Arabidopsis thaliana: one gene and its partners. The protein of the gene in region 2 interacts with the protein of the main gene of each other region in a biochemical or structural test. Each region holds a gene or a part of one and is shown on either strand. Other genes may lie near its edges. The genes, in order: PHYB, PIF3, HY5 and HDA15.

Region 1 (6,823 bases), on a different chromosome or scaffold from region 2:
AAATTGGGCTTGGGCTTTAAAGTATTACCCAAAGGCTATTAAAGTCGTTTTTTCCAATTTGGGCTCCTGATTTATTAGTATGGGAGGGCTTAGTTTTGGGCTTTAAAGTATGCCCCAATGCCTAATAATGTCTAGCTAGTTCTTCGTTATACTAAAGAACGAATTTTGGAAATTCTTGAATTACGATTGTACCCTTATATTAATTTCATCTTTTGTCTTATTCTTATTTATGCAAAAGTTATGCAAAAGTTTTAAGAAATTAGCAGCCAAGCCTAAAGAATCATTGAGAGTTTATAAGGGTGATTTGGTAATTGAGTAGTTTATTAGCTAATTTGATTTCAGTGGCACGTGGTAAATTACTGGTGGTTTAAAACTATTGTACGTGGACGATTCTTAGCCAACGAACTAGTACACTCTAGTGCGAACAGGTACATGATTAAATTCGTGGACATCCAATCATATCTCGTCCAAGATAAGACCAAAACATATGAGGTCATTACTCACTAATAAACATTTAAACTTTTGTTTTGTCAACGAATAGTGTGTTTTTCTTTTGTCATTCCAATTTTTTTCTGTTTTCTTTTCACTATTCACTTTTGGTCCATAATATTTTATGGGTATATAAGATAATCGTTTTTGTCTTCATACATGGTAACATGGATGTTTATATATGTAATAGTGTTAAAAAGAAAAAGTGGTCGGTTATACTTAACTTATTATGATAGAGCTTTGAAAACAAACAACACGAGATGGAGAAATTAGTCATTCAACAAAAGAAAAGGACGAACGCAGTGACTTAACATGAAACTGTGAGCGGCCCAAAATCATTTATGTAATGGACCCTTAACTTTTCATGCACACGATTTTTCTCATTTATATGTTTTTCTGCTCTCTTTTTTTCCTCTTTATCATTACTTTAATTTATTTTATGTTCTTTTTTCGAAGCACCATAATTGTATGCTTTCACCAAATAATCCAAATTTAGAATCATTAATATGTCAAAAAAGAATTGCATATATTCAATAAAACGTAATGCTAAGTAGTACAATGCATGTATTATACAAAATGTAATGATATAGATCCAACGTATATATCAAAGTGGACCAAAATATATCTTATGTATTAGACGAGTTTACTATGCAAAATTTATGATTCTATTCCGCATGGAGCGTGCTAATACTACTTCGAACCCCTTTGAGACCAATATGTGATTCTATATTCTATCTAGTACAAATTATGAGAAGTATATACGTACGATGAGAGTATAAAACATTTCAATATTTGTATAGAGAGGACACCACTTGGTTGACTTGACCCACGATAAGATATTGAAGAAACCAAACTTGTATAGTACGAATTCGAAATCGTAATTGATGATGCGATTCGACAAGTCCAGGGGCTCCCTCCCACGCGCAATGGGCCCAGCAACCACGTGTGGCCACTAGAGAGAATAAACCATTAGCCCACGTGATCTTGGGCCCAATCAATCTCTCCCTCACATTAAACGACAAAACAAAAGCTCTTCTGGGTTAAATTGATAAATATCAAAACTTTAAAGGTAATTTGCTAAAATCGCCACACAAAAAAAGTCGCAGAAAATATATGAGGAAACAAAAAGCGAAGACGACAAAAAAAAAAAAAACTCTGATTTTTTTTTGTTATCTCTCTCTATCTGAGAGGCACACATTTTGCTTCGTCTTCTTCAATTTATTTTATTGGTTTCTCCACTTATCTCCGATCTCAATTCTCCCCATTTTCTTCTTCCTCAAGTTCAAAATTCTTGAGAATTTAGCTCTACCAGAATTCGTCTCCGATAACTAGTGGATGATGATTCACCCTAAATCCTTCCTTGTCTCAAGGTAATTCTGAGAAATTTCTCAAATTCAAAATCAAACGGCATGGTTTCCGGAGTCGGGGGTAGTGGCGGTGGCCGTGGCGGTGGCCGTGGCGGAGAAGAAGAACCGTCGTCAAGTCACACTCCTAATAACCGAAGAGGAGGAGAACAAGCTCAATCGTCGGGAACGAAATCTCTCAGACCAAGAAGCAACACTGAATCAATGAGCAAAGCAATTCAACAGTACACCGTCGACGCAAGACTCCACGCCGTTTTCGAACAATCCGGCGAATCAGGGAAATCATTCGACTACTCACAATCACTCAAAACGACGACGTACGGTTCCTCTGTACCTGAGCAACAGATCACAGCTTATCTCTCTCGAATCCAGCGAGGTGGTTACATTCAGCCTTTCGGATGTATGATCGCCGTCGATGAATCCAGTTTCCGGATCATCGGTTACAGTGAAAACGCCAGAGAAATGTTAGGGATTATGCCTCAATCTGTTCCTACTCTTGAGAAACCTGAGATTCTAGCTATGGGAACTGATGTGAGATCTTTGTTCACTTCTTCGAGCTCGATTCTACTCGAGCGTGCTTTCGTTGCTCGAGAGATTACCTTGTTAAATCCGGTTTGGATCCATTCCAAGAATACTGGTAAACCGTTTTACGCCATTCTTCATAGGATTGATGTTGGTGTTGTTATTGATTTAGAGCCAGCTAGAACTGAAGATCCTGCGCTTTCTATTGCTGGTGCTGTTCAATCGCAGAAACTCGCGGTTCGTGCGATTTCTCAGTTACAGGCTCTTCCTGGTGGAGATATTAAGCTTTTGTGTGACACTGTCGTGGAAAGTGTGAGGGACTTGACTGGTTATGATCGTGTTATGGTTTATAAGTTTCATGAAGATGAGCATGGAGAAGTTGTAGCTGAGAGTAAACGAGATGATTTAGAGCCTTATATTGGACTGCATTATCCTGCTACTGATATTCCTCAAGCGTCAAGGTTCTTGTTTAAGCAGAACCGTGTCCGAATGATAGTAGATTGCAATGCCACACCTGTTCTTGTGGTCCAGGACGATAGGCTAACTCAGTCTATGTGCTTGGTTGGTTCTACTCTTAGGGCTCCTCATGGTTGTCACTCTCAGTATATGGCTAACATGGGATCTATTGCGTCTTTAGCAATGGCGGTTATAATCAATGGAAATGAAGATGATGGGAGCAATGTAGCTAGTGGAAGAAGCTCGATGAGGCTTTGGGGTTTGGTTGTTTGCCATCACACTTCTTCTCGCTGCATACCGTTTCCGCTAAGGTATGCTTGTGAGTTTTTGATGCAGGCTTTCGGTTTACAGTTAAACATGGAATTGCAGTTAGCTTTGCAAATGTCAGAGAAACGCGTTTTGAGAACGCAGACACTGTTATGTGATATGCTTCTGCGTGACTCGCCTGCTGGAATTGTTACACAGAGTCCCAGTATCATGGACTTAGTGAAATGTGACGGTGCAGCATTTCTTTACCACGGGAAGTATTACCCGTTGGGTGTTGCTCCTAGTGAAGTTCAGATAAAAGATGTTGTGGAGTGGTTGCTTGCGAATCATGCGGATTCAACCGGATTAAGCACTGATAGTTTAGGCGATGCGGGGTATCCCGGTGCAGCTGCGTTAGGGGATGCTGTGTGCGGTATGGCAGTTGCATATATCACAAAAAGAGACTTTCTTTTTTGGTTTCGATCTCACACTGCGAAAGAAATCAAATGGGGAGGCGCTAAGCATCATCCGGAGGATAAAGATGATGGGCAACGAATGCATCCTCGTTCGTCCTTTCAGGCTTTTCTTGAAGTTGTTAAGAGCCGGAGTCAGCCATGGGAAACTGCGGAAATGGATGCGATTCACTCGCTCCAGCTTATTCTGAGAGACTCTTTTAAAGAATCTGAGGCGGCTATGAACTCTAAAGTTGTGGATGGTGTGGTTCAGCCATGTAGGGATATGGCGGGGGAACAGGGGATTGATGAGTTAGGTGCAGTTGCAAGAGAGATGGTTAGGCTCATTGAGACTGCAACTGTTCCTATATTCGCTGTGGATGCCGGAGGCTGCATCAATGGATGGAACGCTAAGATTGCAGAGTTGACAGGTCTCTCAGTTGAAGAAGCTATGGGGAAGTCTCTGGTTTCTGATTTAATATACAAAGAGAATGAAGCAACTGTCAATAAGCTTCTTTCTCGTGCTTTGAGAGGTATATTCAGTTCTTCAGCTATGTTGTATCTGCGGTGTATATACCAATTCGCGGGTATTTGATTATTTTGTTGCATTTGGCAATGCAGGGGACGAGGAAAAGAATGTGGAGGTTAAGCTGAAAACTTTCAGCCCCGAACTACAAGGGAAAGCAGTTTTTGTGGTTGTGAATGCTTGTTCCAGCAAGGACTACTTGAACAACATTGTCGGCGTTTGTTTTGTTGGACAAGACGTTACTAGTCAGAAAATCGTAATGGATAAGTTCATCAACATACAAGGAGATTACAAGGCTATTGTACATAGCCCAAACCCTCTAATCCCGCCAATTTTTGCTGCTGACGAGAACACGTGCTGCCTGGAATGGAACATGGCGATGGAAAAGCTTACGGGTTGGTCTCGCAGTGAAGTGATTGGGAAAATGATTGTCGGGGAAGTGTTTGGGAGCTGTTGCATGCTAAAGGGTCCTGATGCTTTAACCAAGTTCATGATTGTATTGCATAATGCGATTGGTGGCCAAGATACGGATAAGTTCCCTTTCCCATTCTTTGACCGCAATGGGAAGTTTGTTCAGGCTCTATTGACTGCAAACAAGCGGGTTAGCCTCGAGGGAAAGGTTATTGGGGCTTTCTGTTTCTTGCAAATCCCGAGCCCTGAGCTGCAGCAAGCTTTAGCAGTCCAACGGAGGCAGGACACAGAGTGTTTCACGAAGGCAAAAGAGTTGGCTTATATTTGTCAGGTGATAAAGAATCCTTTGAGCGGTATGCGTTTCGCAAACTCATTGTTGGAGGCCACAGACTTGAACGAGGACCAGAAGCAGTTACTTGAAACAAGTGTTTCTTGCGAGAAACAGATCTCAAGGATCGTCGGGGACATGGATCTTGAAAGCATTGAAGACGGGTGAGTATAGTTAGAATTTATCTAGAAGCTAGTTTTGCTTACTTCACAAAATGTGACCAAATCCCAAATTTTGTTTTTTTCATTGATCAGTTCATTTGTGCTAAAGAGGGAAGAGTTTTTCCTTGGAAGTGTCATAAACGCGATTGTAAGTCAAGCGATGTTCTTATTAAGGGACAGAGGTCTTCAGCTGATCCGTGACATTCCCGAAGAGATCAAATCAATAGAGGTTTTTGGAGACCAGATAAGGATTCAACAGCTCCTGGCTGAGTTTCTGCTGAGTATAATCCGGTATGCACCATCTCAAGAGTGGGTGGAGATCCATTTAAGCCAACTTTCAAAGCAAATGGCTGATGGATTCGCCGCCATCCGCACAGAATTCAGGTACATTTCATTGTTCCCGCTGTTGTCTCCACATATCCATAACCAAAATTATGCAATCCGGTTTTTTTGGTTCCTTATTTTGTACATAAAGAAAATGAATTTGGTTTGGTTAATTACGAATTTGATTTAGGCGTTTAAAGAATTTGAGGTTTTAACCAATTCACTATTTGTTTTGGTTATTGTTTAGTTGGAACCTAGATTAGTTTGATTTTTGTATTCGGTTTAGTCGACTTGGGAACTTTTAGACACATCCATAGGCCTAGAATTAGCAGTCAAGGAATGTAATGTTTTCAAATTGATGAAAACCAGCTCAAAAGTGTAAAACTTGGGTTTCATGTGTTGGTGTCTTTGTTATGTCTTTATTCGTTGTTTGCAGAATGGCGTGTCCAGGTGAAGGTCTGCCTCCAGAGCTAGTCCGAGACATGTTCCATAGCAGCAGGTGGACAAGCCCTGAAGGTTTAGGTCTAAGCGTATGTCGAAAGATTTTAAAGCTAATGAACGGTGAGGTTCAATACATCCGAGAATCAGAACGGTCCTATTTCCTCATCATTCTGGAACTCCCTGTACCTCGAAAGCGACCATTGTCAACTGCTAGTGGAAGTGGTGACATGATGCTGATGATGCCATATTAGTCACACTTCAGTTGGTATGAGAGTTTGTATCATTGTATGAGTGTTTGTGTGTCTAACGACGTCGGAGGAGGATAGAAAGTTTTTTTTTTGTTTCCGGTGAGATTAGTAGAGAAGAGGGAGATTATTTGCGTTCAGCTCAGCTCGCCGGAAAAAAAACGTAACAGTAGTTGTAGAGAATTTCAAGACTTTTGTTTGTGCTGTGTAAATTGACAACTCCGAGAGAAACAAAACAATGAGATAAGAAGAGAGCATATTAATCGATGACCAATCCTTTTAATTTGTTACTCGTTACATCAATTCAAAATTATTATTTGATTGTTAACCATTTATAAATCATATTATATCCAATTAGTCTGTCTACGCAATCAAGAGGTAAAGGCCAATCACATTAATTTTAAAAGATTTATGATGAAATGGTACCGTCCAAAAAGTTGAAATTTTACAAACTCCACTATATATATAAAAAGTGAGATGTTTAAATTAGGCTGGCTAAGCTTAGGATGTAACACATTAACAATAGTTAATTTAATGTTTATGATGTATCGCACTATAGTTTTGATGTGTATGCTCTCCAGGCTGTTTCGTTTTTCACATTACCCACACTAAACTCACCTTTTTTCTTAAAGAAAATTAAAGTAAAGCTCAAAGACTGAAATATTAACAATATATAACTAATCATTAAGGAATCAAAACTCCATTATATATGCTCTATAAATACTCACCAATCAATAGCCTTCTAAATGTCTCAAACCCAATTCAAACCCTTAAACCCACCTAAAACCTTCAAAACTTATAATGGTTTCTAGTACACTTTTGGTTATGTCAATATCTCTCTTTCTTGGTTTAAGCATA
Region 2 (6,109 bases):
GTAGTATACCATCTTGTATTAATATTGATTTAAACCCGTCAATTGTAGGATTTTTCAGCTTGTATTAAAAATTGAATCACATCATACACATTAAAAAATCTAATATGTTATTAATTATTGTAGTATATAAGATTATAAATTTTAAAATAATATGTATGAAATTGAATATAAATATTCAAATTATGACACAGTACTCAGTAATTTTTTTTCTTAAATCTACTTTTGACCCGTTATAGTATTTTTTTCATGTACTGAACAATTTATATTCGTTTTTAAAAATTCAAATTGTGGCATATGCGAAAAAACTCTAATTATTTTTTTATAACGATGATATTATTTTTTCGCAAAAATAGAATCATATAAAGATGAGAGGTGAATTATAATAATTAATAAAAAATTAATATGATAATATTGATATCAAATCTAATTTGTTGATTTTAATTGGTTACTTTTTTGGAAATTAATAATGTATTTCGTTTTTGAGTTAAATTTAATTAATTAAATTAGTATTTGACTTTTTAATTTTTAAAGAAATGAATTAATTTACTCTTTAAAATTTTATTTCTAATGGCATACGTATGTAATTACTTACAAAAAATAAGGTTACATTTTAAAAATTAATATGATAATTTAGATATCAAATCTAATTTGTTGATTTTAATTGGTTACTTTTCTGGAAATTAATAATGTATTTCGTTTTTGAGTTAAATTTAATTAATTAAATTAGTATTTGACTCTTTAATTTTTAAAGAAATGAATTAATTTACTCTTTAAAATTTTATTTCTAATGGCATACCTATATAATTACTTACAAAAAAGAAGATTATATTTCAAATGTACTTCCCAAATAATATAGTAGGATCACTTCCATTCCGAGTTTTCTTCTTTCTTTGATATATATATCTACTTATTTATTTACTCGGTTTGATTTTATAATAAATTTGTTTATAATTATTTTCTGAACAAGAGATGGCCATAAAATACAGTGATGAAATCAATAATGGTCCATGCAAATGTACTCAAATTATCCACTTGGAAAGTTTATAGTATACAATGGGTTGTTACGTATTTTAGAATCTAATTTGCATGGCGATTTAATTGACATTTCATCATCAACCGAGCTATAACGAGAGATAAACCAGAAGATGCAACGTTCGTGAACAAACTCGACTGATATTCTAGATGGTTTTATTTATTTTTTACTTATAGAAAGGAACAAATTAGATTTAAAGATAATATGCTCTAATCTAAGAGTTTGGAACCACTATACCACATACTATATCCCATGATTAAAAAAAATCTCAATTATTATAGCGCAAATGATTGGTTTTCATCAGTTAATAGAACTTGCTGAGTGAGTCCCCAAATTTGAGGATGATTAGTAATTTAGTATCGTAAAGACTAAAAAAGACTTAAGAAAAATAGTAATGATTAGAGAAGTCAAACCTTTAATAATTAAGATAGATAAAGAGAGACAAGGTTGCTCAACCCCACTTGGAGTGTGATGCTTTTTTGGCAGTGTTCCTTTATGATAACACATCTCTTCACACACAACTTTAGTGTATCACAGGCCCATGTCACTTTAAGATAAGATAACATATTCTAGTATATGATTATTTTCATATTTGTAAGTGTATTAAATTATTCATAGACACACCATGAATTAATTGTAATAATGCGAAGGACCTGTATCATGTAACAGAGACAGACGAAGTGTGCAGAGGTCGGTGAGAAGCAATTTGGTCACCATGCTCCAACTCTCTTCTCTAGGTCCCTTTTGCTTTAATTTTCTCGTTTAATAACAATATCTTATGAAAGCAGTTACCATATCAATTGAAGGATTGTATAATACCGTAATTTATTTATATATAGTACATCTAATTAAACATTAATTATTTCTACTAATAGCCTAAAACCACTACTAATACAACAACTAGTACTTGTTTACGATAATTATTAAACTTGTCTCGATACCTACAACATGCCCAAAAAAGTAATCAATACTTTGTTTAATCACAAAGATCTCAGTGAGATGGTTCTATAGATAGTATTTCTGATTTGTTAGTATATTAGAGAATTGACCATCTATTAAAATAAGAGAATGAACACTATTTGATAAAACAATACATACGCAATTATCATTGTCTTTAATTTTTATCAAAGTAATCATACGATCGACTATTTGTATGCAAAAATTCATCATTTTATTTGCAAAAAAAAACAAACAAACATGGTAGAATTGTATTTGGTGTGTGTTTTAACAAATTGTTGCAATGTTTAGTGCAACATATATAATCCACTATATATAATCATTGACATAATTAATATTTGATTATATGAAGCAATTTCTCTTTAATTATGTGTTTATAAATATAGGGAGAAAAGAAAAATAGAGAGAAAGGTAAAGAGTAGAGCTAATGATTCGGGCGACGCTAAAAGGTTGAATGTTCGAGAGAAACGGAGTCTCAGAGACTGTGAAAACAAAAAATCAAAATCCTCAGTTACAGACGATTTGGTCCCCTCTCTTCTCTCTCTGCGTCCGTCTTGTGCGTCGATTTGTCTCCATCTCCTTCTCTCTCCGCCTACTTTCTCAGGACTACTCCAATTCGCCGACTTTTTCTCCTCTGTTCTCTGCATTTGGATTGATGCCACTTTAATACTTTGAGGTTCTCACTCTCTCTTTCTCTCTTCGCTGACTTCGATTGCTTCAGTACCCTTTTTCTCAGGTCAGCTACGATGATAGCTTTATTCAGACAAGAAGATCAAAGTTTTGATCTTTTTGTTTTGGTTTTCTTAAGAGATGGTTAATTAGGTCTTGAGTGCGCTGTTTTGAATCGTTCTTCAGTGTGATTAAACAATTGGTTTTGATTTGACTAATCATGTTGCCATTAAACTAAGTGAAAATCTCTGCTTTTTTTATATTGCATATTGATGATTGAGACATTGATTTCTTTTCTATTTCTTTATTTCCCAGTTTCTAATTTGGGAACTGAAAAGTTTTCTAATTTAAGCATTACAAAGTGTACAATTTTTGTTTCTGGCAAGTTTTTCTTGGCCTAATTCGTCTATTTTATGAATTCACCTTTTTAGGATCAAGACTTCGTAAAAGATTGTTTCTGTAAAACGCAACACCATGCCTCTGTTTGAGCTTTTCAGGCTCACCAAAGCTAAGCTTGAATCTGCTCAAGACAGGAACCCTTCTCCGTGAGTCCCATTCACTTGTCTCTCTTTAAGTCTGCCTTGTTTCAAGTTCATCAAATTCATGTGTTTTTTTGTTGTGTGTGAAAAATAACAGACCTGTAGATGAAGTTGTGGAGCTGGTGTGGGAAAATGGTCAGATATCAACTCAAAGTCAGTCAAGTAGATCGAGGAACATTCCTCCACCACAAGCAAACTCTTCTAGAGCTAGAGAGATTGGAAATGGCTCAAAGACGACTATGGTGGACGAGATCCCTATGTCAGTGCCATCACTAATGACGGGTTTGAGTCAAGACGATGACTTTGTTCCATGGTTGAATCATCATCCCTCCCTTGATGGATATTGCTCTGATTTCTTGCGTGATGTGTCGTCTCCTGTTACTGTCAACGAGCAAGAGAGTGATATGGCGGTAAACCAAACTGCTTTCCCGTTGTTTCAGAGAAGAAAGGATGGCAATGAATCAGCTCCTGCTGCTTCTTCGTCGCAGTATAACGGTTTCCAATCGCATTCTCTGTATGGAAGTGATAGAGCTAGAGATCTTCCTAGCCAACAAACCAATCCGGATCGGTTTACTCAGACGCAGGAACCACTAATTACTAGTAACAAGCCTAGTTTGGTCAACTTTTCACATTTCTTACGCCCTGCAACTTTTGCGAAGACTACTAATAATAACCTTCATGACACTAAAGAAAAGAGTCCTCAAAGCCCGCCAAATGTGTTTCAGACCAGAGTTCTTGGAGCTAAAGACTCTGAAGATAAGGTTCTTAACGAGTCTGTTGCTTCTGCTACGCCTAAAGATAACCAAAAGGCTTGCCTAATATCAGAGGACTCATGTAGAAAAGACCAAGAGAGTGAAAAAGCAGTTGTATGTTCTTCTGTTGGCTCGGGTAATAGTCTCGATGGCCCATCCGAAAGTCCTTCACTTTCTTTAAAGAGAAAGCATTCGAATATTCAAGACATTGACTGTCATAGTGAAGTGAGTTAAACTCATGTCATTTTATGCACATTACAATTTCGTTTCTTTGTTGTTTTCTTCAGTTTTTTTATTGAATATTGTTGAGCAGGATGTGGAAGAAGAATCAGGAGATGGAAGAAAGGAAGCAGGTCCATCTCGAACGGGTTTGGGTTCAAAGAGAAGCCGCTCTGCAGAAGTGCATAATCTGTCTGAAAGGGTGAGTGAGTGAAGCCCCTAAAGGGTTTTTGTCCATTCTCAAACTCACAAAAGATTGCTATATTTGGTAACTTACTGTCCTCAATTTTCAGAGACGGCGTGATAGGATCAACGAGAAGATGCGTGCCCTGCAAGAACTCATTCCAAACTGTAACAAGGTCAGCTTCTTCTCCTTTACAAATACCATTCATGATTCATTTTTGTTTGAAAGATAAGGAGCAATGCCAAATAAACTAAAACTTGCATCTTAGAACGAATTGCTAAAGGTTTTTGATTGGTTTCCGTATTTATTAAACCGGAAAAACAATTGAAACCATATTGTAAGCAAGATTGTTCAAGCCGAGAATTTTCGTATTTAATCAGCTTTTGTAACATTTATATGGTTTAAAGGTGGACAAAGCTTCGATGCTAGATGAAGCCATCGAGTATCTCAAGTCACTCCAACTTCAAGTGCAGGTAACACTCTCATTACTCTCTAGAGTCGATAAAAATCGTGCAAACTAATAATCTAAACACAATAATCGCCAACAGATCATGTCAATGGCGTCTGGTTACTATCTGCCACCGGCGGTTATGTTCCCACCGGGTATGGGGCATTACCCGGCAGCAGCTGCTGCAATGGCAATGGGTATGGGAATGCCTTATGCAATGGGCTTGCCTGATTTGAGCCGTGGTGGTTCATCGGTTAACCACGGACCACAGTTCCAAGTCTCGGGGATGCAACAACAACCAGTGGCGATGGGTATTCCACGTGTCTCTGGTGGTGGTATCTTTGCCGGTTCTTCGACGATTGGCAATGGCTCGACTAGAGATTTATCTGGTTCTAAAGATCAAACAACGACGAATAACAACAGTAACTTGAAACCAATAAAGAGAAAACAGGGGTCTTCTGATCAGTTTTGTGGATCGTCGTGACATAAATACAAACTTATGAACTGATGTATTGTTTATTTGTAGCATTCAAACAAATCTATTTTATAATCCTAAACAAAATTAATTTGTGTTCGTTATAACAGTGAAGAGCTTTGTGCTTATTGGTGGGTTCTGTTCTGTTTCTTGTTTTGAATTAAAAAATGTTTTTAATATTTTCAAAGGTTTTGTTCCCTTTTTAATGTAGCGTGGGGTTCACTATATAGATGGACCTGGTTAAACAAGCGTGATGGGCTTCTCAGCCCATTTTGTTAAATAACTTAATTATGACATTTTCTTTCGATTTCCTTTTTTTTCTTTTTTTGGGCCAGGACTATTGAACTAGTGAAGCTGAATATATACCCACGCGAAAATTGAAATTATTGGAAGTTTTTTTTTTTTTTTTTTTTTGTTGGAACCTATAGGGTGTATATAAGTTACATGATACACGGTGTTTGAGCGCATCACTTAGCTTGATATGTAGTTTATGTTATACGTAGTAAGTGATTCGCTCACGCATGACTGTTACGTTTTCTTTAACAAAAAGAAAGGGAATCGATGGTTAGGGTTAGGTCAACGATCGGAGGAGTTGAGCTAGAGCCTAGAGAACCATAGTTTGGAAGAGGGCAAATGTGAGCTCCTGATTTGTTTCTCGGATGCTGGAAGCTATATATATGTCCATGATTGTATCGATTGGGAGTTTTGTCGAAAGTAAAAAATTTCTTCCTCAATTCTTTAGGAAGTTTGTTACTTTGTTTTATGTTCACAAAACGTTGTCAACTTCTCGTAGATGCTTGTTTCTATAGTTAGAGATGTTTTATATACCCAGC
Region 3 (3,906 bases), on a different chromosome or scaffold from region 2:
CTAACTAAGTGAGCTATTATCGGTTAGAATTGGTGAATCCTCGAATTAGACTTTGGCTCTTTTTGATTTTGTATCAGCCTTTGATTTCATGGTTTGTGGCAGAAAAGTTTGGATGGAGCTGATAATGGAGGAGGTGAGGAGGAGGAGGATCCATTTGAGGCATTGTTTAATCTTTTAGAAGAAGATTTGAAGAATGATAACTCGGATGATGAGGAGATAAGTGAGGAAGAGTTAGAGGCATTAGCCGATGAGTTAGCTCGAGCATTGGGTGTTGGTGACGATGTTGATGACATCGACTTGTTTGGTTCAGTCACTGGTGATGTTGATGTTGATGTTGATAATGATGATGATGATAATGATGATGATGATAATGATGATGATGATGATGACAGCGAAGAAGATGAAAGACCGACTAAGCTGAAGAATTGGCAGCTTAAAAGACTGGCTTATGCATTGAAAGCTGGGCGTCGTAAAACTAGTGTAAGTTTTAGTTCAGTGTTGAAGTGATGTTGAATACATTGTGTAAAGCATAGTGCTTGAGTTAGTGTCTGCTTTGGAGATTTTGCTTACGAATTGTTTAAGAGTTGACAAAGAACAAGTAGTTCTCTGGTTTTCAAATGCATAATTGATAACGGATGGTTTTGTTGTGATCTGTAGATTAAAAATCTGGCAGCTGAGGTTTGTCTTGACAGGGCTTATGTTCTTGAATTGCTTCGTGACCCGCCTCCAAAGCTGCTAATGCTAAGTGCTACACTACCAGATGAAAAACCGCCAGTAGCAGCACCTGAGAACTCCTCACCTGATCCAAGTCCTGTGGAATCATTATCAGCTGAAGATGTTGTGGTCGAACCTAAGGAAAAAGTAAAAGATGAAGCAGTTCATGTGATGCAACAGAGATGGTCTGCTCAGAAAAGAGTGAAGAAAGCTCACATTGAAACGCTAGAGAAAGTTTACAGAAGATCAAAACGACCCACTGTAAGGATTCTCCTTTTACATTTGAATCAATTTCTATGTTACTTGAATGCTCTATCTCACATATGATCATGTTTGATGATGCTGTGAATAGAATGCTGTGGTTAGCAGCATTGTTCAAGTGACCAATCTTCCAAGGAAGCGAGTTTTGAAGTGGTTCGAAGATAAAAGAGCAGAAGACGGAGTTCCAGATAAGCGAGCTCCATATCAAGCTCCGGTTTGATCTAATGTTAACGTTGAGATGGCAATGATTTGTATACTTGATTCTCAGAAACTCATCAACATTGTCGTCAAGGACAAGTTTTTTTGGTGATACGAGGAGTGTTTATAGTAGTAGATTCTGTCCAATGGTGTGGCTGGATATGTTGGACTATGAAATTTTAGGATATCTTGTATTCAGTTTTTAGTTATTTCCTTGCTGAGATTGTGTCTTGTAGAAAACCGTTTCAACTTTGTTTGGTTTATGGCGGCTATAAAGTTTAATTTTAATGCATGACAAAAACAAATCACCAAAAATAAAATAAATTACTTTCACGACACTTTTGAAAGCACTGCCCTAGGCGTGGGCCATGTGACAGAATGAAAGAACTCAGACCAAACTTTTCTGTCCAAGGACAGGAATGGGGCCCACCCAATTAGCTCCCCTATCCATTATTCACCGTAAGATGCTAACCAGATCTAACGGCTAAAATCCACCCACGTTCCAATCTCAATTGCCTTTGGATCCTTGTATTTCCTCAAGGCTCACCTTTCTCCACGATTCACTCTCGATATCCGTTCGATTCTTCAGAGATCTGACGGCGGTAGCCAGAGTAATCTATTCCTTCCCAAAATGTCTCGCAATTAGATTCTTTCCAAGTTCTTCTGTAAATCCCAAGTCCCGCTCTTTTCCTCTTTATCCTTTTCACCAGCTTCGCTACTAAGACAACAAATCTTTCCCTCTCTCTCTCGCCTGATCGATCTTCAAAGAGTAAGAAAAATGCAGGAACAAGCGACTAGCTCTTTAGCTGCAAGCTCTTTACCATCAAGCAGCGAGAGGTCATCAAGCTCTGCTCCACATTTGGAGATCAAAGAAGGTAAACAAAAATTGTCGATTGTTTTATTTTCATATCTTCTCCCAACGAGTGATCTCATTGATTTTCATTCTCATGCATTGGATATCTAGTAAATTCACATCTAGATTTTGTATCACCATTGATTCACATCTAGATTCACAACTTTTAGTCTCCCCCAGAAGATCTGCAATTTTTTATTGTATTTAAAAAGTTTGAAACTTTTCGTCTAAAGTCTCTTTTATGTTTTAAAGGAATTGAAAGCGATGAGGAGATACGGCGAGTGCCGGAGTTTGGAGGAGAAGCTGTCGGAAAAGAAACTTCCGGTAGAGAATCTGGATCGGCGACCGGTCAGGAGCGGACACAGGCGACTGTCGGAGAAAGTCAAAGGAAGCGAGGGAGGACACCGGCGGAGAAAGAGAACAAGCGGCTGAAGAGGTGTCTTTTTCTCTATTCATTGAATTTACATTTTTACCCTTTATATGGAAGGTGATTATGTTAAATAACGGTTGCGTGATGGGGTTGTTTGGTAATTTTGTGGTGAAAAGGTTGTTGAGGAACAGAGTTTCAGCTCAGCAAGCAAGAGAGAGGAAAAAGGCTTACTTGAGCGAGTTGGAAAACAGAGTGAAAGACTTGGAGAACAAAAACTCTGAACTTGAAGAGCGACTCTCTACTCTTCAGAACGAGAACCAGATGCTTAGACATGTACGTTTTGTCGATCTTACTGTTGACTTAACCTGCAACGTCAATGCTTTTGCCATTTGTTTTTTGATATATCACAGTACTGGTTTATCACATTTACGAGTCTAGGATTGACCAATAATTAGTTTAGTTAGTTAAAAGGATCTAAGAAGCTAACTTAAGCTTTAGATTAATTCTCAGAAGGCATGTAGGTTCTTGAAATGGTCATTCACTCGCATATTCTCTCAAAAGGCATGTAAATTCTTCAATGGTTCTTGAAATGCTCACTCATTTTGTTCTATATGAATGGAGAAGATGAGATTGCAAAGTTGGATCTCTATGTGTGTGTGTGGTAATAAAGTCTTTTGAGTTGTTATGTTTTTTATGTGGTGTAGATTCTGAAGAACACAACAGGAAACAAGAGAGGAGGTGGTGGTGGTTCTAATGCTGATGCAAGCCTTTGATCTCCTTCTTCTTCTTGTGTTATATTTTTGTGGATAAAATTTACAGAGAATTGTATCAATAATTATCATGTTAAAATTATATGGGATGTGAGAGCTAATATTGCAATTGTAGACCAAGTTCTCTTATTGTAGTCTTAGATTTCTCTTAATTGAAACATAATGTTGTTTTATAACAAAAATAAGCTAATTTTTGTTCTATGATATGACATTGTGACACTGTAGTAGAAAGGTTGCGTTTTCGATTCCCGCAGTTCAAAGTCCCAAACAAATTCTGGGATAGTGGAATCTTTACTCTTTTTTTTTTCCTTTTTGCCCCTATCCCTCCCGATTTCTTACAGACAAGTCGCCATGGATTTGTAAACGAAGATGCCGTTGATCATATTATGCGGAAATCGGACAAAGAGGGTAGGGTCGATCTTTTACAGCCAAAGCTTGTCAAGCTCGAGAGATGAGCAATCATGTAAGTGTTTTCTTACACTTTTGCTTTCCTTTTTCTAAAATCCATGGAATCCAGACATTGTTTTCTGTCACTGCTACCTTGAACTTGCTGCTCCCTTCTTAGAATCGGGTTGCCACAACCGAATTTCATGGACAAAATCGTACATTTCTTTACCTGTTGTATGCTTTCTGATTCTTTGTTTTCTATTTTAGATTTTTCGTGGATCTCATCTTCATCTATTGCTAGTTGCTAGTGTACTATGGATTGTTTGACATTATTTCTCATGCTTTTGAGGATA
Region 4 (6,534 bases), on a different chromosome or scaffold from region 2:
ATACAAGGTTTTTTAGATTCAAATTCTCTTAGAAAACAAACATATGATTAAATAAAATGTGGTTGATTTACAAAAATTCAGCTAGTTCATAATCGAAATTAACCGATAGCCCCTCTATCTACCTAAAATCAGAAAGAATTAATCTGAATCGAAGCGATTATTCGAAAGTTCTTATTTAATAGAGCTGGACTAATATTCTTAGCCGAACAGTGCCAAAATTTTGGTAATTAGATTTGGTTCAAAATACCGACAAAACTGTTTTGTTTGGTTTTGGAAGATTGAACATATCCGTATTTAGAAGCTCTTTTAGTTTTTCATAAATTTCTAAATATTCTTAAATTCTTCTACTTTTTTCTTTTTTGTAAATCAAATTTCCTAGCCGTATCAAACTGTGTCAAATATACTGAAATTGATTGAAATATACCAAAACCAAAAAGAATATACCGGAATTATTGGAAAATGAGGATTTTGGACACCGAGAAATGAACAAGAAATTTGTTTTTGGTTTGGTTCGACATCAATAATTTTAAGATAAACCAAACCGAACTATAAATTTGGTTAAAGTAGGAATTCGTTTATCCAAACCGATTGCCTAGCTTAAGAGGTCTGATGAGGATGGTTGGTAAGCAGGTTAAAAGGGTTCTTTCTATAAAACCCTACCAAATGTAAGTGATAAAGATTGTTCAGAGCTCCCTAATTGCAATAAATTCCCCCAGATCAGTTAGGGTTACAAGTAAGTGTAGACAATTCCTACGACGGATTAGGAAGAATGCTTTCTAAAATCACTTTGATCTTGAAATCATACGAGCCGAGAGAAAGTTGTACAAAAGCTTCTTTCGTCCCCATTTCCACCATGTCGGAACCCGAACAACCTTCCTTTTCATCTGATTTTCTGTAAAACCAGTGAGATTTTATTAGGAGAAAGAAGGATGAAGAATGAAATAGTTTTTTTTTTGGGAAGCATCACTCACTTTTGTTTTCGATCAGACGTGCTTCCAACTCTGAGAGTAATTTGGAGTAGCTGATAGCAAGTGATGGCCAGAACTCCAGTTGGATATTCAGTACATCAAGAACAGTTTGCAGGCCGGCTACTGAAGGCGTGGTGGCGATGGGCAACTCGTTCTCCGGATTTTCACCCAGAAGCACCTTTATAGATTAAGCGGGATCATGAATCTCCATAACTATATGCAGATTTTAAAGGATATCAAGTTTGAAATAGAGACTAACCTTGATCACTGCTGTTGCAGAAGCAGATATGGAGCGAAGATTGTAGCTGCAAATGAAAACAGGAGATTATTCAAAAGCTGCTCCTTACAAACCAAGAGGCTACTCCAAAAAACTGCAAAACACATACCCGCCCTCGAGAATAACTAGCATTTTCCCACCACACAGATCACCCAACATCTGTGTCATTCGAGAATAGCCAGCCGGAGTCACCTGAAAAAAGGAGTAGAACAGAACATCTATCCTCTGTTGATATCCACAAAACAATACACTGATTCCAGAAGTGGTAAATTACAGCTCGAATATGAAGCTTACATCACAGCATCCTAGTGGGTCTCCTCTAGCCGCATCAAATCCCGCAGATATGATGACAAAATCTGGAGAAAATGCAGAAGCTGCAAGAGAAGGTTCCAGTTAAAATTAGACTGAGTGCACATTCAAAAGTGAGCTAAATGTATTTGGTCCACTTCCTGAGCATATTAGTCATCAATTAAGCCAAAACGTTTATCAAATGGGGAAAAGTAGAACGACTCTGTACCTATGGGGAGAACCACATGTTGAAACGCAAAGATATAGTCTTTATCCCCAACTCCACCGCAACTCCATGGAACATTTACACAATAACCTTCCCCACCATTAGAACCAACCTGCACCCATAATTAACATTAGCAAACTATTGTTCTGCCGCCTAGAGAAAATTCAAATTTTGGAAACAAGGCAGAAATTAGAAAATAATCCCAAAATTTAAGACATAAATCATAATGCAAACCAAACACACAAATAAGGTATATGCATATATATACCAACAACTAAATCTACTCATGAATGCTGGATGAGACAATGTAAAACAGAAAAGCATAGGTACCTCATCAGCAGCTCCAGTACCGGGATAGAAGTTTCCTCCCTCATGTCTGTGCAAGGATATGTACAATACCTATGCAATGACTCCCAGTAATAAGTTCAAACAAGGTCAACTCACAAAAATAATTTACTGCATCCAACACTCCAAAATTGATGTGCAGACATGCATAGATTTGGGCAGCTTACAGATTTGTTTTGTTCGAATATCTCTTGGGTTCCGTTGCCATGATGGACATCCTGCAACGGTAGATATAACATTGATATGAGCCAAACCACACAATGCAGAGTACAACGAATTAAAAAAGTTTGAAGATCTACAAAATCACCCAGTTTAGAGTTATCAGTAACATTACCCAGTCCACAATCAGCACCTTCTTTGCCCCTGCTGCTTGTGCTACTAATGCAGCAACGGCTGCATTATTGTGAAGGCAAAACCCCATAGCATGCCTGACGCCAGCATGATGACCGGGAGGTCTAACCTGATACAATCAGAGATTTTTTTTTTTCAAACTAATATGGTGTAATTTCAATTTAAAGCAATTGTGTAGTTGCATCTTTAAATTTAAAAATTTTGGTGAATTAGACATACCAAAGCAAAACCATTTTTTACACGGCCAGTGAAAATATCTGTAGCTAGATCAGCGCACAAACCTGCTGCAAGTCTAGCAGCACGTGCTGAATACTCATTAGCATATGTGTCAGAGGTGAAGTAGCTGCCAGACAATGGTAAAAGAACGGGATCAAGAGCAAAAAGAGATAAATGAGGAGCAGCGAAGGTAAAGGAAATTTCAATTCAAGTTTGAACAGTCAGATTAACAAGCAAGGATATGCACGGTGAACGCAAAAAAAAAAGTAACAAATGGTTTAAAATTCAAACCTATAGAGAAGCTGGCTTGTAGTATCAACAGCATCAACATGCTCTGAAGTGTGGACCTCAAAATTGACATATACAAACCAGTTATGAAATTGCTTGTAAAAGTACTGCAATGAACATAATATTAGAATTGTCTCTAAGACAGTTATGTAGCAGCTCACCATCTGGAGTTCTTGTTTCGTGATTTCCCTTGCATTGATAGGCAAGCATCTTCCAGGAAAAACACCTGCAAAAAAATTCAAACGTGGTGAGTACCAAAATTACTCCCAACAGTATGATACTGTAAAATGAAACACATGATATGATATATGGGATCAAGTCTCAGAGAAGGTAGACAAGGACGCTAGAAGCTTCTTAATTGAAGAAGTTATGTTCTGATCTTTTCCTTTTAGAATTAGAATTTTATTATTTTCCTTTTTAGTTTTAACTTACCTCGGCTGCAAGAGATCTATATAATGATCTCCAAATCTTAATAATAATCAGCTTCCAAACATTAGTCTTCTTCTCAAGAGAGGCTAGGTTTAAAGGAAGTAAACGCAACATACCAGCTGTGGCAAGACTAGCAGCTATAGCTCGAAGACGATCAGGTCTCTCTGGATGTGGTTGTGCCTTCACTTCAAACTTTTTAAGCATGCCATCAGCACATATTAAATAGAAAAACTTGCACGAAGAAAAGCTTTGGAGATGATAATGTAGAGATGTCAACAGATACTAGAGGTTTCTCAGGAAAACATAACACATAACAGTAACAAGATCATACTTCTGAGTGTAGCAACATTCTCTCGTCGAACCCAACAGCTGTCGAGCTGGTTGCAGATGAGCTTCCTAATATCAAGTTAAAAGAAAAGTGAACATGCTTACAGTTACTTAAATAGCATGGAACTGAGACTAACAATATTTATAAAGACATTTTCAGAGGAAGCAAGGGAAGTAATTCCTACCTCCATATTTCTCCTCGACTTCAATGAGACCAGTGTCTTTAAAAAAGGGAGACGCTAAATATCCATGCCTCAAAATGCCAGATTCCTTGTGCTCACCGCATATCTACGTCAAGGAATCAACTTTACTAATACATAACCAATGTCCAATGCGCATTGCTCAGACGTACGTTTGTCACTTTGAAATCATAAAAAGTAGTAGCCAAGCAAGAAAAAGTAAATAAAAAACGTACACAACAGTGGACCATATCACCAGGGTTCGACATAGTGCAATTGACACAACACCATTTTACAAACTCCATAGGCGCCTGCACAGGTTCCCAATCACAATCATCATCCTCATCATCGTCATCATTGAGTAATGCATCAGCACCGTAAATATCTTCAAACGTCATTTCTCTAGAAACCCTAGCTCTTTTCTGCATAAGACACAACAATGACCAATATCACCAAAAGCAGAACCAACCAAATCTCTGACAATACATTAAAAGGAAGCCATGGTTTTTAGCTTACCGCTGAAACTCCAGGAGCTACATTTATATCTCCATTGCTACACTCTTCTCCCGAACAAGGAACAGCGATATCTCCACCGTTCACATGTCTTCTCTTTGAACCCTCACAAGACCTCTCGATAGTTTCTACAACCATTGTTACCTCAGTAGTCACTCAAAACTACTAACCAGCTGAAAATAAATCTCCGCTGTGCCAAAAGAGAAACAAAGAAAAACCCAATTTGAGAAATTTTAAAAATCAAAAAGTTTCATATACGAAGAGCTAAAATCAAAATCGAAGAAAATGTAAAGAACTCCACACACAGCTACAACAAATAACTTTACGAAGAACCCAACTTTTCTTCGAGTATTATCGAAATCGATCCTCGATCCAGAACTCAGGAATTGTTTTTTTTTCTCTATGGAAACTGAATAAAAATATCAACGACGGTCTCAAAATATCATACCTGAAGAAAACTTCCGGCGAAACGATGAACAGAGAAGGCTGCGTCCGTCGCGTTTAAAGGAGCGCGACGCTACGATAGCACAACAGAGCAGAAATGAGAGAAACGACGACGGCGACAACGAAGATGACGACGTTCAGACTTGAAAGAGTAAAAGATTATTTGGGCTGAAGATGAAGACCCAATAACACTATAAGCCCATTACCAAATTTGAGTCAAACTATTTATTTTTATTTCCTTTTGCTTGGAATTTTTCATTAATGTTCAAGTATTGAAAGAGCAAAGTACGACTGAATCTTACTTCACAAAGCCAATTTAGGTTTGTTGTCTTCTCGAAATGGATTACAAAAGTTACCATTTTTTAAAGGGAATGAGACTTTAGTTGTTATGTCATTGAATTTTTGTTTGGTAAATAACCTAACTGATAACTTCATAATATTTATAGTGAAAAATGTTTGAATCATCAGGTAATTAAACGTCACACTACAGATTGTAGAATGACTAATGGTTAAACTAACTGATAATGACCAGCTAACATAATCAAAATACGCCCAAGCGCATTAACACATGTGAGACTGATATTTGTTTCCCTTACCTTTTTCTTTTACCTTAACCTAATTCTAACTGTAAGTACTGAATCCAATTTCTTTGTTATATAATACATGTTTGTGTGCATGCATCTCCATATAGTACTCAAAAGCATCGTCTTTGTCTTTTCTCTAAGAATTTATTATTCATACATTAATATTAATTCTACAAACATGGGACTATGGGAGATAGTATTCCGTTATATATATAGTTCACAAGAAGAATATTGAGTGATATATTTCCATATATAACAACGACGACGACAACAAGAACACACCCACATAAAATGAGAGATGAACACCGAAATGTTAAAGATGTAAATATGTTGAGCTCTCTCTCCTTTTTATACCTCTATCATCATCTATACCTATACATGATAACATAAATATGTATGAAAAAATGTGTGTTGACTATCACTTGTGTGAACAAAGAAGCATAGTAATACATTTTCCAATAATGTAGAACCTTCCTTTCTTCTTTTTCAGAAACTCTCCAACTCCTTTTGGTGAAGAAGGCTTGTTCTTCTTCTTCTCCCAATTCTTCACTGCTTCCTCCTTTGTGTACTTCTCCCTCATTGTTTAAAGTGTGTTTATAAAACAAACTTTTTTGTTTTTCCTTATTATCAGGGATTCAGGGTGATTGTGTGATGATTGTGTGATGTTTAAATGGAAGTGAAGATTCATCATATTATATATATTGGAGTGAGAGAGAAAGAGATAAGGAGAAAGTATTCCCTACCATTGATTCGGGACCCTTCAACGAAACAACCCAAAAATAAAGGCCACTTTGTGAAGTGTGACCGACTAGCTTCCCATTATGGTTGAAAATATTTGATGTATTGTTTTCTTGTCTCCTTTCAGTTCAAAGATTCATCATCGGTAGAGATTGATTTATTCACTTTGATTATTGGAATATTATGTTAGAACATACGGTATTGCAGACCGTCCATATCTCATCTTAATTTCTTTGAATTTAAATTGAACATGCAAACTAACGTTATGGTTAACTGCTAAATAAATACATAAAATGCAAATTCCAAGGAGCTTTCGGGTTTGTTTTGAAATACATGTTTAAAAACTTCTGCATGACTATAA

The links.
Region 1: the proteins of PIF3 (region 2) and PHYB form a complex in vitro, tested with the Arabidopsis thaliana proteins (12 studies listed by BioGRID, with this or other methods).
Region 3: the proteins of PIF3 (region 2) and HY5 form a complex in vitro, tested with the Arabidopsis thaliana proteins (2 studies listed by BioGRID).
Region 4: the proteins of PIF3 (region 2) and HDA15 form a complex in vitro, tested with the Arabidopsis thaliana proteins (one study listed by BioGRID).

What each region holds. Positions count from the first base shown.
Region 1 is NC_003071.7:8,138,181-8,145,003, forward strand, and holds PHYB (phytochrome B), read left to right. Parts: upstream 1-1,582; 5' UTR 1,583-1,898; coding exon 1,899-4,062; intron 4,063-4,150; coding exon 4,151-4,958; intron 4,959-5,048; coding exon 5,049-5,339; coding exon of another isoform or gene 5,340-5,469; exon of another isoform or gene 5,470-5,715; coding exon 5,716-5,971; 3' UTR 5,972-6,281; downstream 6,282-6,823. Other genes in the region: XTH21 (xyloglucan endotransglucosylase/hydrolase 21), read left to right, coding at 6,767-6,823. UniProt on the Arabidopsis thaliana protein: Regulatory photoreceptor which exists in two forms that are reversibly interconvertible by light: the Pr form that absorbs maximally in the red region of the spectrum and the Pfr form that absorbs maximally in the far-red region.
Region 2 is NC_003070.9:3,074,083-3,080,191, forward strand, and holds PIF3 (phytochrome interacting factor 3), read left to right. Parts: upstream 1-1,685; 5' UTR 1,686-1,770; intron 1,771-2,318; exon of another isoform or gene 2,319-2,376; 5' UTR 2,377-3,133; coding exon 3,134-3,204; intron 3,205-3,295; coding exon 3,296-4,175; intron 4,176-4,263; coding exon 4,264-4,371; intron 4,372-4,462; coding exon 4,463-4,528; intron 4,529-4,760; coding exon 4,761-4,826; intron 4,827-4,901; coding exon 4,902-5,285; 3' UTR 5,286-5,572; downstream 5,573-6,109.
Region 3 is NC_003076.8:3,592,846-3,596,751, reverse strand, and holds HY5 (Basic-leucine zipper (bZIP) transcription factor family protein), read left to right. Parts: upstream 1-1,748; 5' UTR 1,749-1,951; coding exon 1,952-2,048; intron 2,049-2,278; coding exon 2,279-2,462; intron 2,463-2,572; coding exon 2,573-2,834; 3' UTR 2,835-2,957; intron 2,958-3,100; coding exon of another isoform or gene 3,101-3,169; 3' UTR 3,170-3,391; downstream 3,392-3,906. Other genes in the region: OCP3 (overexpressor of cationic peroxidase 3), read left to right, coding at 103-480, 658-975, 1,067-1,195.
Region 4 is NC_003074.8:6,359,616-6,366,149, reverse strand, and holds HDA15 (histone deacetylase 15), read right to left. Parts: upstream 4,975-6,534; 5' UTR 4,856-4,974; intron 4,598-4,855; 5' UTR 4,546-4,597; coding exon 4,411-4,545; intron 4,317-4,410; coding exon 4,131-4,316; intron 4,004-4,130; coding exon 3,901-4,003; intron 3,785-3,900; coding exon 3,720-3,784; intron 3,581-3,719; coding exon 3,505-3,580; intron 3,186-3,504; coding exon 3,121-3,185; intron 3,019-3,120; coding exon 2,963-3,018; intron 2,799-2,962; coding exon 2,675-2,798; intron 2,565-2,674; coding exon 2,439-2,564; intron 2,323-2,438; coding exon 2,272-2,322; intron 2,159-2,271; coding exon 2,090-2,158; intron 1,872-2,089; coding exon 1,763-1,871; intron 1,620-1,762; coding exon 1,540-1,619; intron 1,438-1,539; coding exon 1,355-1,437; coding exon of another isoform or gene 1,327-1,354; exon of another isoform or gene 1,274-1,326; coding exon 1,228-1,273; exon of another isoform or gene 1,147-1,227; coding exon 968-1,146; coding exon of another isoform or gene 964-967; exon of another isoform or gene 893-963; coding exon 751-892; 3' UTR 535-750; and 1 more. Other genes in the region: RTFL20 (ROTUNDIFOLIA like 20), read right to left, coding at 5,854-6,015. UniProt on the Arabidopsis thaliana protein: Responsible for the deacetylation of lysine residues on the N-terminal part of the core histones (H2A, H2B, H3 and H4).